Linked DNA regions of Daphnia pulex. Each later gene encodes a partner of the first gene's protein in a complex. Links are inferred from orthologs where the notes say so. Each region holds a gene or a part of one and is shown in the gene's direction. Other genes may lie near its edges.

Evidence for each region.
Region 2: mediator of RNA polymerase II transcription subunit 23-like (region 1) and mediator of RNA polymerase II transcription subunit 31-A-like share a complex: the UniProt entries of both Drosophila melanogaster proteins name them as parts of the mediator complex. The link is inferred for Daphnia pulex from reciprocal best matches to the Drosophila melanogaster genes MED23 and MED31.
Region 3: mediator of RNA polymerase II transcription subunit 23-like (region 1) and mediator of RNA polymerase II transcription subunit 21-like share a complex: the UniProt entries of both Drosophila melanogaster proteins name them as parts of the mediator complex. The link is inferred for Daphnia pulex from reciprocal best matches to the Drosophila melanogaster genes MED23 and MED21.

What each region holds. Positions count from the first base shown.
Region 1 is NC_060019.1:10,878,951-10,886,118, reverse strand, and holds part of mediator of RNA polymerase II transcription subunit 23-like, read left to right. Parts: coding exon of another isoform or gene 1-59; intron 60-144; coding exon of another isoform or gene 145-241; intron 242-972; coding exon of another isoform or gene 973-1,007; intron 1,008-1,107; coding exon of another isoform or gene 1,108-1,286; intron 1,287-1,354; coding exon of another isoform or gene 1,355-1,427; intron 1,428-1,522; coding exon of another isoform or gene 1,523-1,525; exon of another isoform or gene 1,526-1,681; intron 1,682-2,520; exon of another isoform or gene 2,521-2,602; intron 2,603-2,646; exon of another isoform or gene 2,647-2,745; intron 2,746-2,808; exon of another isoform or gene 2,809-3,106; intron 3,107-3,590; 5' UTR 3,591-3,678; coding exon 3,679-3,726; intron 3,727-3,788; coding exon 3,789-4,030; intron 4,031-4,097; coding exon 4,098-5,597; intron 5,598-5,666; coding exon 5,667-6,029; intron 6,030-6,096; coding exon 6,097-6,711; intron 6,712-6,772; coding exon 6,773-7,168. Other genes in the region: ovoinhibitor-like, read right to left, coding at 1-59, 145-241, 973-1,007, 1,108-1,286, 1,355-1,427, 1,523-1,525. UniProt on the Drosophila melanogaster protein: Component of the Mediator complex, a coactivator involved in the regulated transcription of nearly all RNA polymerase II-dependent genes.
Region 2 is NC_060024.1:13,243,498-13,249,648, reverse strand, and holds mediator of RNA polymerase II transcription subunit 31-A-like, read left to right. Parts: upstream 1-3,089; 5' UTR 3,090-3,230; coding exon 3,231-3,243; intron 3,244-3,321; coding exon 3,322-3,402; intron 3,403-3,459; coding exon 3,460-3,556; intron 3,557-3,615; coding exon 3,616-3,826; 3' UTR 3,827-3,914; downstream 3,915-6,151. Other genes in the region: 2-oxo-4-hydroxy-4-carboxy-5-ureidoimidazoline decarboxylase-like, read right to left, coding at 4,059-4,254, 4,327-4,480, 4,560-4,746; fructose-bisphosphate aldolase-like, read left to right, coding at 6,131-6,151. UniProt on the Drosophila melanogaster protein: Component of the Mediator complex, a coactivator involved in the regulated transcription of nearly all RNA polymerase II-dependent genes.
Region 3 is NC_060027.1:1,943,918-1,949,617, reverse strand, and holds mediator of RNA polymerase II transcription subunit 21-like, read left to right. Parts: upstream 1-2,241; 5' UTR 2,242-2,334; coding exon 2,335-2,376; intron 2,377-2,452; coding exon 2,453-2,665; intron 2,666-2,742; coding exon 2,743-2,904; 3' UTR 2,905-2,981; downstream 2,982-5,700. Other genes in the region: nudix hydrolase 8-like, read left to right, coding at 932-1,100, 1,169-1,260, 1,324-1,534, 1,591-1,817, 1,886-2,065. UniProt on the Drosophila melanogaster protein: Component of the Mediator complex, a coactivator involved in the regulated transcription of nearly all RNA polymerase II-dependent genes.

The sequences.
Region 1 (7,168 bases):
TAGCTTATCACGATGCTTAAGGCGAAAAATATGAGGAACAGAGACGAGCATGAGAAATTCTAGATTGTTGGAAGAATGAAAATCTTGGTTATCTTAAGAGTCTGCACAAACTCCGATAATTACAAAAATAATAATATAATTTACCTTTGAGTAGAACTGAAGCATTTCAAGAGAAAAATGTTTGAGTCGATGGAGAGCGAAGGAAGTTTTAAATCTGAAAATGTTGTCTATCGACGGACACCTTTATATAGTACTGCTGTTTATGTTATACGTCTGTAGTGCCTCGATTCATCAGGATTTTGTAGACTGCAAACGCCCAGCGCCAAAGGGGATTATTTCTAAATATCTCCATGTTGGGAAAATCCAAGGGAACAATTTCCACATTTTAGTTACAACATACGTTTTTTTTTTAAATAATAACCCCCGTTTTTCAGTTCCGTTTCGGAGAAAAAAGACAACCAATAGGCCTTAATGTTTAGAACATTATTGATTTCAATGGCGCGACGAATACGTCATATTACCTACAAACTGATGGAAAGAATGAAGCGGAAGTATATTCTTTTGTTGAATCATAAAACAATGATGTTTTTAACATTGTAACCTGCTCTATTTTCCTCTGTCAAAATCCTTTGTTCCCGCGGGTTGCATACCGAGTTATATTCTACTACGCAGTAGGCTACATATTACGCGGCCATTTTGTAAAGATTTAGTGGATTCAAAAATGAATGAAACTACGTATCTAGGATCGCTTAAATATGCACCCATCATTCAACGGATATCACCCTCGCATTTAAACTAAAGCGTTCGATTTTCTTGCTCTTGGTATGCGTAGGTTAGACATATGGTATGGAATGTGAAGTAAAATCTCATCTCAGTCATGTAAATTAATCAATATAATTTTAGATGTATTTAAAAGCCTGTATACAATGAGTGGGATTGCACAGCAAATAGCACAAGTATATAAAAGCCCACTGGTCATCATAATAAAATAGCGTGACGAAAACGTACTAAAACATTGTTCGTATTTGAAATCAATAATGAATAAGAGGGGATCACTATAATTTTGGAGTTACTATTTAATGAAAATAATTTGTCTCCGCCATTTTATGGGCTCGCTTCTTTGCATGCACCGTCATAAGCCTTTGTGATGGACGACTTAGTCTTTCCACATATACCTTTAGTCTCGACACTCAATACGCATTCGTTAGAGTAAGTTTTCCCGTCTGTTCCACATACTGGGGCGTAATTTTTCTTGCAGTTGCAGCTAGGATCCTGGTCTTGTGGAACTGAGAAATAACATGACATAACAGTTATTTATCTATACAAAAATTAATATGTGAGCGTAATTTCATACTTCCTTGGACGCCAGAGCTAATCAAAATCAAAGTAACAAGTGAGATGAGAAGAAGAGCTGCGCTGAATCGGTTCTATGACGGAAATTTCGTACAAAAATAATTAAGTATGTACACAATTACATTGCCACTTTTGGGGGAGGTACATATTGCGTGTTAAAGAATAATACCATTTCAATTTGGTGACCGTTTATTTTCGGATTCCTTTTTACAGAGTATATGATGTGAATGTTGGACAAAACTGTAAGAAACTGATTTGTTACTATCCAAGCGAATTTGGTATATGTAGCTTTAACCAGTGTCGTAAAAGTATTTGAAACGCCCAGTGCTAGCGGCTACAAACATGTAAACCGGTTTTCTGTTTAGATTTGAGATTGCTAGTGCATACTCTCACGCAACTCGCAAGGAGGAATTTGACGACGAACAAACTAAACGGTTCTCCATGCAGGTTTTATTTCGTGCAACTTGTTTTGGTCAACGCAACTTTCCAACGTACATAGTCACCACAATAACAACGCCAAAAAGCACGCTACAAAGTATCGTAGTGTACATTAATCTACTACACACAGGCAGGTAAAACGAAGTTGTCCTAGAACAGCAGAAGAATATTTTAGTTGTGAAATAAATGTTGTTAAATAAATCTAAGTGAAATGCTGGCGCTGAAGAGTATAGTTTGGGAAATACTAATTAATTAGTTAACTTAACCTGTTAAACAGGTTTTAGGATATCAAGTCGTCTTTGTTCGTGTCCAGAGTTTGAGCTTTCACGAAAAGTTCTTTCACTTAACGAGCAAGTGTAAGCTGTCGTAATAAATTATTTATGAGTACCGCGAATTAAATTGTAACAGAATTCTCGGAAAAAAAACAGCGCAAGACAATGGTTTGCAATGGAAAGAAACGGCAACAAATAAATTAGGTAGAGAATGTCGTAAAGAAATCTAGTATCAATTTAATTAGCCTACACATTTTTCTAGATTCAAATTTTCCGAAAATTTACAAAGAGATTCACACAGATGGAACACACGAAGATGCAGGTACAAAGTTGTTCACCAATCGCAGCTAAATTTGATTGTTGACATTCACCTTCATAAGCCTCACTAACCAACGATTGCTCAGTTCCGCATTTCGTAGTTTGAACTCTCAAACATCCTTCGTTTTCGTAGGTTTTCCCATCTGTTCCGCAAACTGGGGCCCATTGTCTACTACAGACACACTGTGGCCGGTCAGTTTGTTGTGAGATTTCTTGTCGAACTATAATTTAATAAATTAAATGGTAAATTTACTTACTGGCTTTAGGAAAGAATTTATTTACCTCCTTGAACACCTGATGGGCTGCTGCTCACCAGAACAATCAAGGTAAGTGCGACGAGAAGCAGAACAAAGCTTAAACGATTCTAATAAGGAAAGAATCGAAAAATCCACACTTGACGAGAAGAAAATTGTTGTAATCAGATTACCATTGATACAGCTGCTGAATGCATTTTTAAGTTCATCCACAGGATCAGTAATTATGGACAAATGAAAAGAAGAATTACATAAGAAATACTGTAACTGTAACGAATGTGTAAAGCTTACTGGGCTTGGCTACTATCCTTTAATACTAGTCTTCCTTTAAAGCAACTCAGTCACATTCTATCAATCGGTTGTCGTCAGGTTGAAACGCCTTTAGCGCTCTGTCAAACTCGTTTTTAGCTACAAAAAGGACTCTTCTTGTAAGGAAATCGTTGTTTCCGTGTGTTCTTTCTATTATTTAGTTAAAAATTCATGTTTGAAAATAAGACATTTTTAGATTTCGTCCTTCCGGGTGCTAAGGTTTTGCCATTTTGCAATTCATCAAATCATTGTCTAAATTCAGATCAAAATATTTTATGAATCATAGTAGTCATATAGCTAAATAATGGGGATTGAAGTAGCTCACGACACTCTTGTCTGCTGGTCAGGAGCTGAAAGAATGAAACAGAAACAAGGGACCATGACGAGAGATTATTATCAAATTGATTGAACTCTTGTCCCCTTGTTCTCTTTTCCTAATTGCTGTTTTTTTTTGCATCGTTTCCAGTTCTTCGATGTTCGAGATTTTTCCCCATTTATTAGCGGCGAGTTTGAATATTTCCAAATGTTTAGATATTATTGATAGATGGCGTTCGCATCAACGTTTGGCACTTCGATATTTTTCTTGAAAGATTCACGACCGGTATTCTGATCTTCTCCCATTGTTGACTTCTTTATGTTTTAAAAGGTCTGGCTGCAATTAAGTTTATCCTGTGAATCAAATCTTCAACTGATATCAGTAAAGCGTGACTTTACTTTTTAAAGTCGGCCTAAAAATGGCATTGGACGGAAGTAAAGTACAAGCGTTGGTTTCGGAAGCATTGGTATGATAATCTTTTCAAATGAAAAATAAAACTAATATACTAATGCTTGAGTCAAATTACAGAAAGTTGATGCCATTGAAGAAGCTTTTAATGATTTCCTGATCCAACGCAAGGATGAGGGAGTTAAATATAGTGCCTTGGAAAAAGATTTGATAGCGATGATGAATGACTCTCAGGCTGAATCACAAGATGCTATTTTGCCTCAGTTTATTGCTGTCATTTCTGGGGTCAGTAGTGATTCACACTCAAAAATATTATTTAAACTTCTGGAAAGTGTAGTAAACACAAATATTGCAACATCCCGGTAAAAGATTCAATTTCATGTATTGTAATGTCCTTCTGTATCACTTTTTATTCCTTTATTTCAATAGGAAAGTATGTGACTCACTTTTGGGCAATGAGAAGCTTACTCCTGCAAATCCACTTTTATGGCAGGGAAGCTTCTCACTCATCAGGAAAATTGTGTGTCATGTGGATTACAAAGGAGTACGAGAAATAATGAAAACATGCCTGGAAAAGGCACAACTCTTGCCAAGCCGATTTTCAACATCAGAATATCCAAATGTAACAGCATTGGAGCATACTTTGAAACACATTCTAGACCGCCAAGTCTGTCTATTGCCAGCCTATTTCATCGTGAATGAAATAAGAAAAATGTATCCAGAAAACAAAGACTGGCCTCATTGGAAATTGGCTGGTCTATTATCAGAAGTTGTGGATAGCTTTCGCCCTTTGGTGCAAATGCTCTCTCCTATTGGCAGACCTTTGATGTTCCCTGTGGTTGACCCCTCTGCCCATGGTGTCCACCACAGTTGGAAACTGGAACAGGGTACACTCAAACTTGCTTTGAAAGGGAATTTACCCTATGAAAAAGAGTATACGGAGCCACAGACCCGCTTGATCCGGTACGTTTTGGAGCAGCCCTACTCCCGTGAAGTACTTTGTGGAATGCTGGGCTTACAAAAGCAACACAAGCAGAGACATGCAGTATTGGAAGAACAACTTGTAGAACTACTGGTGCAAGCTATGGAACGTGCAGAAATCGCCCCTGAACAGGATTCAGATGCCGCCGACGAGTTGGGCGTTTCTCATTGGCTCTGGCACCACTTATCCAGCCAAATCATTTACTTTGTTCTTTTCCAGTTCGCCTCATTTTCCCATCTAGTCACGTTATTGCACGAGAAATTGGCAGAACGAAAACTACGCAAAGGGCGCGATCAATTAATGTGGGTTCTTCTCCAGTACATATCTGGCAGCATCCAGAAGAATCCTCTGGCCGAATTCTTGCCTCTTTTGCGGCTGTACGATCTACTCTATCCTGAGCGTGAACCTTTGCCTGTTCCGGACTACACTCGACCTATCTGCGTACATCAAATGGCCGTTGCATGTATATGGATACATATTGTCAAGAAAGCCCAGACAGAACAACAAAACGCCCAGAAAGAAATTGCTGCAGCTGCTGCGGCCGCGTCGACTGCCGGAGCTACCGGCACCAATCCTTCTCCTGCGGCCCCAACTGGAGGGAAAACGGATTCTCGAGCTTTTACGACTCTGCTTCAGAGACATTTTCCTCAGGCACTTAAAAATCACCAAGAATTTCTACAGCATAATGCTCTTAATCCCCCAAGCAGTGCTCCTTCTGGGGACTACAGGGTAGCTCTGCTTTGCAATGCATTCTCCACGACGTTAGACTGTTTGGCTCGCCCTATGGGTTCGCTAATGGAATCGTTGCACGGAAACCTAAGCCAAAAAGGTTCTGGGAACGCAGGAGGAAGCGCTGGTGGTATGCCAAATACAGGACCCATTTCACCCATTCCGCTGGCCTTTTTAGACGCACTGACTGTGCATGCTAAAATGTCGCTCATTCATAGGTAATCACTTCACATGCTTTACAGTTTTAAGGTTTTCTTTATTAATTTCTTATCATTTTCTTTGTTCAGTATTGTGACGCACGTTATCAAATGCGCACAAACAAAAATGAACGTTCCTTTAGCTCCGGCCCTCGTTGAAACGTACAGCCGCCTATTGGTCTACACTGAGATAGAGTCGTTAGGTATCAAGGGCTTCATCACGCAAGTGATGACTAGCGTTTCGAAATCACAAGCGTGGGGTATCTTCCATACCCTGGTGGAAATGTTCACTTTTCGTGTTCACCACATGCAACCACAATATCGCATACAGCTGTTAACTCTGTTGCATTCGTGCGCAGTGCCACAACAGCATCAAACACAGCTGACACTATGTGTTGAAAATGCGGCCTTGAGGCTTATAGGATTACTTGGTGCAGCAGAAATGCAACCTTGGTAATAATTTGGAACCCTTCAAAAGCAACAACTTAATTTCTGGTTTAATTATCCATTATTTTAACAGTTATTCGCGATCAGCTGCCGATATTAAACCACTCTTCTCAAGCGATTCGGAAGAACTCAACAGAGCGCTCATCCTAACGCTTGCTCGAGTAATCAGCGTCGCTGGATGTGAAACGCAACATAGCAGCTGGTACAAGGATCTGCTAACTTTAATACAGCAACAGACGCCTCATAGCTGGTCCAGTAACACACGCGACTGCTTTCCTCCACCCCTAGCCGAGTTCTTCGGACAGGCAGCGAATCAACCAGTCAAGGAATCAAAGCAGCAGTTGAAGCAAAATATCGAAGAAGAGCACCGAAAAGTATTGACCATGAATCCAGACGATTGGCCGGCTCACTTTGCCCCACAATCAAACAATCCGCCATTTTTCCTTTGCTTGTTGTGGAAGCAACTTCTTGAAACGGAACGTATCAATCCCGTAGCTTACAAGTGCATCGAACGCATAGGCGCCAGAGGTTTGGGCAGCCACCTGCGTACATTCTGCGACTTCTTGGTTTATGAATTTGCCAATTCTGGCAAAGGTCAACACGTTAACAAGTGCATTGACGTGCTTAACGAAATGGTGTGGCAATATAACGTCGTGACTATTGAGCGACTCGTTCTCTGTCTGGCCTTGTGAGTATTTATAATGCATAGTGAATCTAGTTTTCTTAATTAACGAGCTGTTCATTACTAGGCGTCCCCTGGAAGGTAACGAAGCCCAAGTTTGCTGTTTCATCATTCAATTGCTGCTTCTAAAAACACCGCAGTTCCGTTCGCGTGTTCAAGATTTCGTCAAAGATAATTCGTCCGAGCACTGGCGTCAAAACAATTGGCACGAAAAGCATTTAGCTTTCCAGCGAAAGTTTCCAGAACGCTTTGGACCTCCCGAATCGGTGCTTGAAAGCATTGGCCAGGGTGGCTCTTACCAATCTCTCCCTACTTACTTTGGTAACGTTTGCCTCCGTTTCCTTCCCGTTTTCGACATCACTATTCATCGTTTCACTGAGATTCCACCAGTAACCAAATCGCTCGAAACCATCCTAGAACACCTAGGCTGCTTGTACAAATTTCACGATCGACCAGTCACTTA
Region 2 (6,151 bases), on another chromosome or scaffold:
ACTATATATTTCGTCGGGATATTAACGTTTTGAACGCCGGCGTCATCGCCGTTACGGCACCATCCATATCCGCACTGTAATGTATTCGATCATTCTACTTTTCTTTTTTCTTTACTCCCTTGGAGGTTGATATATATGTATTATATATTAAAAAAGGACCCACTGCTGCACTCCTAAGAGCAGTGTCCTTTTATTTTATTCCGGAGCGGAAGAAAAAAAAAAGCTTTCTGGCACTGGATAATGTAATGGCAGGATGTGACATCATCAGCTGTTATTCCCTTTTAGATAGAGAGAATAGAACACAATGTTTCTCGGATACTCTTTTGTTTTTCTATAGCTGGCATGTGCTGCTTACATGATGGATTCGCAGTCAAATTTTCTACTTAGAAGGAGAAATAATAATACGCATATAGGGCGATATTTTGATTTGATTCTTAAATTTCTTATTCTTCCGGTGGATTTTTTCTTCACGGCAACAGTACAATATAGACCCTAATTGCTTCTCCATGACAACAGCCTACAATGTTTTCTATGTACCGTATAACTGGTTGAAGACGGTATAGTTAGACTTGATGTCATTCACTCGTACCCCCTCGACATGTACGCGTAAGAGTGAGAAAGGGAAGAAGACTATAAACAAAAGAAAGATTTTATTTTGATGTCAAACTATTCTATTTTTGACATCATGTCGAAAATAATGTATAGCGCTGCATAAGGATGATTAAGACTTGCAAATTCTTGGTGATTTCATTATATAGCTGCAGCGGCGTGAGTTGAATAATTGAAACATTTGCGACTAATAGGATCGACTCGTTTATAGATTTTTTGCATGTGTCAATAAGTGTTCCTGGCAATTCAATTATAATTAGCCTACTTATTCCCCATTCTGATAATTTCAGTAAAGAAAAAAAAAGAGTCGGTATATGGTTGACATTAAAGTCTATGTAACTGGATCCCGTTAATAGCCACTTAATGATGGTCACGTTAACAGAATAGACAAAAATAACGCAACCACCCGTTATTTTTTAGTCGTTGTCGTTCAATTCCCCACAGTTTGTTGCATAATGAATTCTTATTCCCATCACTCGTTTCGTAAGACCATCAAATCCGACCAAATCCTTTGATCCCGTTTTCTGATTATTCCTTTTCTTTTTGAATTGTCACTCAATTTTCATATAGCTACCCAGCTAAAAGCGCTAGCTATATAATGTGTTTGTACTACTCTTTATAATATTTGAATAATGAATGCGAAATCGCATCAGATGTTCACTTGAATATTCACGAATGAAGATTTCACCTGGTAGGAAACTTGTCATCCTAATACGACGTATAACACGCTTACTGCTGAGTACCATTAGATTAATAAGTTGTATGCTATGCGCTTTGCTGTTTTGTAAATAACGCGATCAGATAAATATTAATGTCTAGTCTCAGTTCATTTGAAGCAAAAGGTTCAGGAGAAAGATGATGATTCGTCTACTAGACTAGTTAAAAAATACGATGTACCCCAGCAGTGGGCTGCATATGATTGCCATTTTCGTTGACGCGTCGACAAGTTGTTTGACGTTAATATTTTGCGTTAATAAGATTTCGCGTCGCCCTTTTGTTTTGTTTATTACATTGTTTAATTTTTTGTTTCCCCCCCCCCTCTCTGCGTCGACTGCTATATACTCGGCGACGTGACGCAAATGGAATCGGGGGCTTGCTGTAATTGCCTTCAACGGCAGGTTAACATCACAACAGTTGCCGAAAGTATAGAGACGAGGCGGAGTCAGTTTTTGGGCATTGTCCGTCGCACGTGCCACCGCCCACCGGTTCGTCTACCTAGTGGCAAAAGCGTTATTAATATGGCGGGGAAATGTAATGAGAATCTTTTCCACGAAAATTTGAAACTCCTCAGGTAAAAAAAAAAAAGGCTGATATGGGTCAGGCAATAAGCGGCAGGTGATTGATAAAAGCCCACACTGCCTCAGCAACAGCTGGATCATTTTTGTCATGTCACGCCACCTGTTGCTACCTACGCTCTACTGAATTCTGTGCTATCAATGATGGAATATTACTCCATCATTTATCCCGGACCGACGGCAGAAATCCGCGTTGAATCTATTTGTTACTCCAATCACGTCACTTTGCTGATTGAACTTATAATCATAGAAGAGTGGAATTTCAAGCACGATTATTAGATAATACCAGGGAATTAAGATTGATACGTTCATCCTCTTGATTGTCGCATGGTCTACCGGAAAACTCGGGGCCGTAGGTGAGAACCAACCATTATACATCCGCCGAGTGCGCAGGAGGATGGCTACGTAGTATAGACCTACCACATGTACAATACGTGAATATGCACTCAGACATGATACACCGCCCTCACGGCCGCGTGCATTATCCGGATGTCACGTATACACGGAGTAGATATGACACTTTAAGATGATATTTCTGACCTATACATGGTAGAATGCTATCGCCCCCGCACCGGATATCCGATCAAAAGTGGCGAAAATAAGAACAAAAGTCAAAGAAAAATTTCAACAGATTTCGTTTGGGTTGAATATTTTTGATTAGCCTACTTTCAAATATTTCCGTTCTGGAAAAGGACGATAAAATAGTAACGGAGGCGTAGAATGTCGCATATGTGAAACAACTGGAAATCACACGGTAATATATTCCATCTTTTTATTTTTCCGTTCGCCTTTCCTGCTGAATTCATAATTTTTCTGATTTGACTTTTTTATTTTGGTATTTTTGTTTTTCAACTCCATATTCCATCTAAATTCTTCTATTGATCTTACCTCCTACAGGAAAATAAAATAACTCACGGTGCAAACTGAAGTTAGTATAGTCTAGCCGTCTAGCCTATCAGCTGCGGCTTCATGGTTTATTAGGGTCCTACGGCGCAGCGCAACCGCAAAATGTTATCCAAATTCGGAAATCAAACTGTGTGATAAGGCCACCACACACATTAATAAATTGTGGGCATGAAATTTGAAATCGTTTTAATTTTTTTTTTATTTTGTAAAAATTTTTTTAAGTTAATTCAATTTTTAATATTTTCTCGATTTCTTTCTAGATGGCATCAATTGATCAAGCAGACGACAAATTGCAAAAGTTGACGCTTTCCAATTTCCATTTCAAGTTGTTGTCTGACGTTTCCATTCTGTCCGGTTGCCTCGTTTCTAGATTTCCAAAACTGTTGAAGCAAACTACGTTATTTCGTTGTTTGCTTCGCAATGAGCACCAGAGGTAAATATATCGTGAAGTGTAGTCGTTTTCAATACAGATTCTCATTGCTATGTTATTATTCCTTTTTCCGATGGGTAGAAACTGATGAACAACAAAGGATTCGATTTCAGGTGGAACTAGAATTTGTGCAATGTTTCGCAAATCCAAATTATCTGCACTGTAAGTATTTGGTCTATTTTTAAAATCAACACTTTCATTATGCCTTGTTTACACTAGTCCTTGCTCAACGTGGCTATTTTAAGGATCCGGCGTTTGTCAACTACATCAAGTATTTACAGTATTGGAAGGAGCCTGCTTATGCAAAATATTTGAAGTACACCAATTCACTTGCAATTTACCCTAACTAGAAATTACAATTTCATTATTTTCCAGGTACCCAATGTGTTTGCATTTCCTAGACTTGCTTCAATATGAGCATTTCAGAAAGGAGGTTGTGAATGGCCAGTGTGCTCGCTTCATTGATGATCAACAAATCCTTCACTGGCAACATTACACTAGAAAGAGGGTTCGTCTTCTTCAAAGTCAAGCTGAGAAGCACATGATGACTGTTCAGAATGAGCCAACACCCCAGAAAAGTGTTTGATTCATGATAATTATTGTTTAAGGAACTTTTTAAACTTCTCTTATATTGGGCAAGTATATGCAAGACAATATAGACAAATTTTTGTAAATTGCTGTATTTTGTGTTGAGTTTTTGCAAACTACCAGACAAAATGTTAACAACACATATGTTTTGGAAGACTTGTTTTGAGTGAGAATGTTTAGAATGGAATAGCTGCTGTTGACCTCAACTGATGGGAGCGAGTGGAAAATCTCTACATATTACGAGATTTGTCATCAGTTACTATACTCAACAACCTCAAAAGGCAGATTTTCTTCACTTCTTCAATCCCAATGTTTAGTTCTTCAGCAGCTGAGTGTTCCAATCTCTCAACTATTCCTTTCAAGATTGCTTCCTTCTTGTTCTGCCTGGCACAGATAACAAAAGGAAATCCAAACTTTTCTCTGTATCTATTAAAATAATAGCCCAAAAGACACAGCTCATTAGTTACTATATAGTTATAGAACAGTAATTTGTCATACTTGATGTTGGTCTCTCCTAGCAGTTGTTTTTCACCAGGTGTCATTGTGTCTAAACCAGCAGCTTTCTGTTCAGCAGTACTCTCCTGTGTTAGGCTGCCAAGTTCAGCTAGCCTGCCAGCCAAATCAGGGTGAAGTCTTAGCACCCCCTCTTTACCTATCAAATGAGAAAACAAATGTTCAATTGATTGGCTATAAATAAGCATTCAAGCAGCCTGTAACTAAATAGTTCTAACCTGTGTCCGGAAGGAGGTCCAAAAACGAGCAAATTTCTTGGTGGAGATGATGAACGTCACGAAATGGGCGATTACGCCAAATTGCCGCCGCGCAAATTGAACAATGTTCAACTACATTACCGAATCGACTGATGAAATCTTCATAATTCAATTCGTTTACCAGCGAAATGTTCAGCATATCAGCCATTCTTGACGTGTGTAGACCGAGCAAGTGGCGCTTGACGACGATCTAAACAGAATGCAGCCGTAGTAAAGATAGTCAAGGTCGTCTATAATCAAAATAAAAGTAGACGAATAAAAATTCGAAACGTGTTTGTTTTTAAGTTTGATACATTTGTTATTGCAGCACTAAATAATGACGTGGATTATTCTCAATCCTGATCCTGCAGTTTGTTTTTGAGTTAACTCGATCGATTATCTGGGAAGATAATGAAAAATAAAAATATAATATTCCACCACTATCACGTAGCTAAATATCGAGTTTTAACCTTCATATATTCTCGCCATATTTATGTACACACACTTAAGGGATCTCGTTTCCACGGTCAAAACAACGTCATCTAAATGGCATTGAAATTGTTTGTGTGCATAAGTTGTTTTGATTTTTTCGGCATCAAAACAGAATACTGAATTGCGTGATAATAACAAGTTAACAAACTCAAAGGAAATTGAATTTTTAAAGATTTCACATAGAATAGCCACTTTTATGTCTGCTTGTCGAGGTGCACGTGATCAACTGACATTGCCTGAGGGTCATACTACTGTCAAACACGAAGGGGAACACAGAAAAAAGCGTGTCAGAAAATTCGTGAGGACGAGACGACAAGGTGCCCTTACCAAACTTAACTTCCCAGTCAGTACTATCGTATTTATAGCCAACGTGCATAGATTCACGTTGGAATTTTTCCCGCTAGCCGCACGGATTCAGGCTCGTCGCTTCGACTCTTTAAAAGCCACCCAACCGGCGGTATATAGCAAATAGCCCCGACTCCCAAGACTAGCTCGTCACTTCGACTGCACCGACTGTACGATCTCGTCTGTCCTGATAATTCCTTCGTCTTTTCCAGTCAAATTCATATTACCAAGTAAGTTGCATCATACAATTTGAATAGTTACATATCTTGTAAATTGGAGAAGGTAAGTGTGAAACCATATCGGTTTGAATGTAGTTCACAAAATGTAAGAGTTTCTAGGATTCGTACCGAACGATCCTGTGTCAAGGTGACCTTCGTGTAGGGACGACGTATAATATTGATCGAACCATGATTCTAAAGATATTCAGTGGAGGCAGCTTTCTAACTTTGCCTTGCTCATTGATTGGATGTCTAGAAGTTGTTTAAATGAAAAGTCTTTATCGTATTGGGAATGTGAGTTCTACTTTTAGAATCCCTTGGTTCTGAGCTATTTTTTTCTATCCTTAGAATGACCTTTGGGTTGGCAACAGACTAAGGTCATATGGTCATCTAGGATCATGTAGTATGTTGAGATGATCTTTACCCGCACCAATACAACTAATTCTAAGTAATTCAATTAAAGTGTGGTGTCTAACTTTCTATTTTACTTGACAGAAAATGACGACCTACTTCAACTAC
Region 3 (5,700 bases), on another chromosome or scaffold:
AAAGGGTCACACACAATATAATAATAATAATAAAAACGGTAGCTCTCTTCCCTCCCCACACACTTGTGTGTTTGCGCAGATGGTTTAGTTATACGTAAATCTCTTCTCATCCGGATTAAATGGGATGGATCATGATATTATATGGACTAACTCTTGTTTTGTTCTGGCGCATGACTTGTTCATGTTCCCTTTTTTGCTCAACACTTGACAAGTGAGTTGACAAGTTATATTTCATCACTGGGGGTTTGTGTGTGATTCGATTTCAATTGCTTTTGTGGGGGGAAGAAAAATAAAATGGATGATCATGGCCGCCAAATGCGCCACACAGCAATCCCAAACGGCTGACAGTAGAAACTTAGAAAGTGTGTGTGTGTGTATACAGTACGGCGAGTGGGGGGAGTGTACTACTACGACTTTGTGTATCTTTAAAAGAAAAAAAAAATGTATGCGTGCGTGTTTGTGCGTTTGACCGTGAGTAGGAGGTGGTGGCTGCCTAGCGAGGCGGTCAAACGAATCGGGAAAAGGGGCAGGAAAAACATAATCATCCGTTCCCGTGTTGATTTGTCACGAACTTGGCCATCTAGCGGTCGAAATTCGCAACTTGCCAGGTCGTTTTGGTGAAATAACATGGGCAGAAAAAATGGATAGATACATAATCTTGGCATTTGTATTTCATGCCCTTCTAGTAAAGTGTCTGTATCATTTATTTATCATTTATTGTTGGAAAAGACAGGCAGAGATTTACAATAGAAGCCGGAAAAGAGAGGGAAAATGTGTGGCAACTCGGATTCACGGGACATAAAAGTGCAGACGATGTCAACATAAATATTATACGATGTCGTTGGACGATATCTCCTGCCTCTAGAATAAAAAGGACTCTGTGTATAGATGAAGAGATAGGCCGTGATGACATATTTATTGAACGGGTGTTATGAATGCTACTGCTGCTCGTCATTTATTGAGCAGCGCTCTGGCCAAGACGAAATCAATTGTTGTTAAAATGTCGACATTCCAAGGTGCCAAGGATCTTTTCGGCGGAATCATTGTGCGCTCGAGCGAAGAGCCACAAGAAAGGAACCGAATGGAGCAGCTTCTTAAAGGTGCAAATTTATTTTTATATATTAACACATCATTTGTTTTATGTAATAGTTGTTTTGTTTGTTTTTAGAATCTCTGCAAGTCTGGTCCACCACTGGAGTTCGTGGAGTCTGGTTTGAAGTGGAACCAACCTGTGCTGAATGGATTCCAGTACTAATTCAGGTAGTCAAAGAAGAATTATTGCTAGTCAAAACTGCACGAGCATTACCTTATTCATTTTCTTAGAATGGCTTTTCTTTCCATCACGCAAACCCAGAGTTGAGTGTGTTGCTCAAATGGTTGCCTTCTGACGAACCTTGTCAAGTGCCTAGTTATGCACACACAATGGTAGGCGCTGGAGCCATGGTTGTCAATGATAAGAATGAGATTCTTGTGGTTCAGGAAAGGTATTACAAAAGACCACACTGGAAACTCCCTGGTGGTTATGTAGATCCAGGTATGTATATTTAGACATCATTAACATTCAATCATTACCAATTATTAAATTTACAGGGGAAAGTATTGCTACTGCTGTCAAGAGGGAGGTGTTTGAGGAGACTGGTATTAAGACAGAGTTCGTTTCACTCGTTGCCGTGCGGCATTTGCAATCAAGAGAGAAGAATCCCAGTGCAAGGTTCGGCTGTTCAGACATTTATTTCGTGACTTATCTCAGACCTGTTGAAGGTAGCACAGAAATCAAAATGTGTCCTCGTGAGCTCAGCGACGCTTGTTGGATGCCGGTTAGTTTTCTAAATGTCAACATTTTCAATTATTCCTAGTCTGTGTAATTGAATTTTAAATATTTTAGCTGAAAGAATATGCGACTCATCCGCTTGCCTTCGAAGTTGGGAAAATCTTTGCTACACAGTTAATGGCGATTGCCGATGGCGATAATCCCGCAATCAACTGCCTGGAATCTATCCATCAATTGACTAATAGCAATAGCCAAATTTACTTAGTTGAAGGAAAACAAAATTTTAAACTGTAATGTGTTCAGGATCACGTTCTAGTATTTTGTTTTAGTGCCTGTTACGGGAATCAGATAACGCATTATATTTAGCTTGAATTGTTGTTTTAACAAATTATATATGCAGATCGGTAAATTACTGCCCAGTTCCTGTAATCATCAGAATGTAGAATTAATTTCACAATACAGGTTGTGAATGTTTAAATTTGGCATTGAAGTTATCAGATTCATCGCTAGGTGGCGTAATAGCCGGCACATCTGCTTTTCTCATCTCTGCATTTCCATCAACAATGGCTGATCGTTTGACACAACTCCAAGACGCTATAAATGCGGTATTTATAACTGATTGCATTGACGAAATTGCCAAGTGTATCGTCTCAAATTCGTGGTTTAATTCTCTGTTTCTAGCAAGCTGATAATTTCTGCAATGCCATCGGTATTTTGCAACAAACCGCCCCACCGGCTACATTCCCAGGTTTCGATCGAGCAGGCAATCGAACACCTCAACAACAACAAGAAGATCACGCTTCTCTTTTTGCCACATTGATTGCCCGCTGCGCCAAAGATATTGACGTCCTAATCGATTCACTACCCAGTGAAGATTCTACCTCCGAACTGCAGGTATAAACTTGGTTCTATTAGTATTCTGTCGGTGCAATGTTCTACGAAGTTGACTAAAATTAATTCAATCGCTGCAGATTGCAAGTCTCAGAAGGCTGGAGAATGAAAATGAAAGTGCCGCTGCACGATTGAGGGAGGTTGTCAGCGAAGGAGAGCTGATGCTCGAGAAAATTCAGAATGCACTTCACGACATTGCACAGACCCAACTGGCCATGCAGAGCACAGGTCCAAATTCCTAAATCCAACCATTATTTGCTCTAGTTCCCTATTTTTGATATTTAAAAGAAGAAAATGAAACAAACAATTTGCTCTGCAAGAATTTCGTTTCATTTCTGGTTTCCGCCACAACATCAATTTTAAATCTGTTCTTTTCAAAATCATATTGAGTGAACATTCTTGTCACACACAGGTGAGGCAAGTCATTTCAGGAAGGAAGGAAGATGGGGTGACAGATTGTAAAAGAAACTGTTTGAAAAGGATTCCAACCTTTTATATATCCACTTCTTTTTTTGTCTTCCTTTAGAAAACCCAAAATGGAAAGAAGGGGGGAGAGAAGTTGCTGTTCACTCGTAAGAAGAGAAAGAACACGCGGTCCGTTTGTTTAGGAATGGCGTGCAACAAAAAAAAAGAGGAGGGGGGAGCGGGAGGAGGAGAAAAAAAAAACGATAGAATGTTGTTTAGCTTTTTATTTTTTAAAAAAGAAGAAGTAGAAAAAATTCTCCCGTGTGTATAAATATAGTGCTGCCATCTTCTCCGACCCCTTTCGGCGATCTCCGGTCGTTCGGTAAGAAGGGGGAAAAATAAAGGGGGTTGGAAGTGGGTGGCGTTCAGTCTCCCCACTTCCTTTTTTTTTCTCTCTCCCTCCCCAACCCTTTTTTGATGCAACAACAGTGTCTGCGTTCAGCGATTATGTCTTTGGAGAAGATTACGTTTGGCAGAATTTCAGGTGAGTTTGAACAATTTGTTTTCTTATTTCACGAATTTTCCAGGGTAAATTTTGATGTTGCTCAGGATAAATATGAGATAACTGGGGAATATATAGAGTCTTATTAGTTCTATAGAAGAAGCGCCGCATACCGCTTCGGGGCAGCAACTGTGTGTGTGTGTATATCCCCCCCTTCTTCTTCTTTTTTAAATGTTTTTCTTTAAAGAAAACAAAAAATACTAAAAGGGAGGAGGAAGATGAAGAAAAGAGAGGGGGAAGAGTGCAGCTCGCAAAGGTCCCTCACTTCTTTTTTCCAACTCTTAAACGAGTTCTTCTTCTTCGGGCTGTCTGACTCCCCCCCCCCACCCAACCCCTTCCTTCCCCCCCCACTGAGATTCTTAACACATACGAGACTTTTATGTTAATTTCGTTCCTTTTTTCTTTCTTTCTTCTCGTCTTCCCGATATATTTTTCTTCTTTACAAGATTCCGGCCGAAATAATAAATATACCAGTCTGTCTGTCTGTCTGTGTGTGGGTTCGTTATCAAAACCCCAAAGTCGAGAGAGGCGGAGGGGTTAGGTATTTTTACTCCATTTCACTCCGGACGTGAATTTTTTGTTCTTTTTATTTTTTTCGGGAACAACACAGTAGAGTGTGTGTGGCACGGTCGACTGTAAATACAAATAAAACCACTTCCTGGAACTGTATAGATATACCCCTCCTATTCTTTTCCTATTTTATTTTTAATTTTTCGGAACTTTTTTTTGAATTTCCCGCCTCTTTGAAATTTGTTTATTTCTGCGTGTATTTATTGAAAAATATTCGTGTCTGTTATTGTATACAGACACGCGGTAGGTTTTTTATTACTTAAAAAAAAAGAAATAATTTTTGAAAGACATTGTATCTTTCTTTATATTCTTCTTCTTCTTCACACAAAAAGCACAGCTCTCTGTCCGGCTGAGTGAGCTAAGAGCTTCAGGGGAGGAAGAAGAAGAAGGACAACATTTTGTGGGCGTGAATTTCTCCCTTACGGACATTGTCGCCGACATTTTCAGTTCTGAAAGAGAAAGAAAGAAAGAAGTTTTTAAAAAGAAACATTAAAAAATAGAAAAGTATTTTCCTTTTAAAATAAAGCAACGACCGCCGCTAGATGGCTTATTGTTTCGGGACAGGTATATAAAACATTCACAAGTATATACCGACGTAGACAGCTTAGATGCACACCTGTAGATAGTAGCGAAAAATGTTTCTTTTTCTTTTTCTCCCCCTTCCCCAACAACAGGTTTTATTCCATTTTTTTCGTTCACTCCAAACCATTATTTCTCAACGTGAATTAGAGACAAATGCATCACGCAAAGGTTTTCGAATTTGGCGGGCGTGATTATTTTATTTTTCTCCCGAAATTCTTGTTTCAAGGTGAATGGAAATATTGGGAACACACGGGAGAAAAGAGAAGAAGAAGAAAAATCATTTTGAAAATGATAAGATGGAAACTGTTGATGGAGTTGAAGAAACGAGTTGAGAGATGAGGGGAGGAGGGGGGAACGGCATGACTATCATTCTCGTTCGTTCGTTTTTTTTTCTTCTTTTTTTTGACCATATGTGGTGGGAGAAGAAGGATGGGAAATTTCCCTATCTAACCCTTTTGGTTGGTTGTTGTTGTTGTTGTCTGCTGGCGGGGGTATGGAACTGAAAGAAGAAAACGCTCTATCACATTCGACCATCTTCTACTACTACCCCTTCTTTGCTCTCATCGTTTCTTATTTATTTATTTCTGATTTCTCTCTCCCCACCCCCCGAGAGAGTCTGAGATATCCCACATATAAGAAATTCCATTTGATATTCATGTAACCAACTGACCCAATTCCAAATTCTATACCTATTTATAAAAAGAGAAATCCACCCCTTTTATATTTAATCGAATTAAAGTTAATTGTATTTTAAATTAATGGAAGTTTAAAAAAACAAAAATTTCGAACGAAATGACAATAGGGGTTGTTCTAGGCGATCGATAATAGGCCTTAACAAAAATTTGGTGAAAAAATTATTATTTTCCCCTTGTTTTGGGTTCGAAAAACGGGAGGATATCCGCCATATATTTCCCCATTT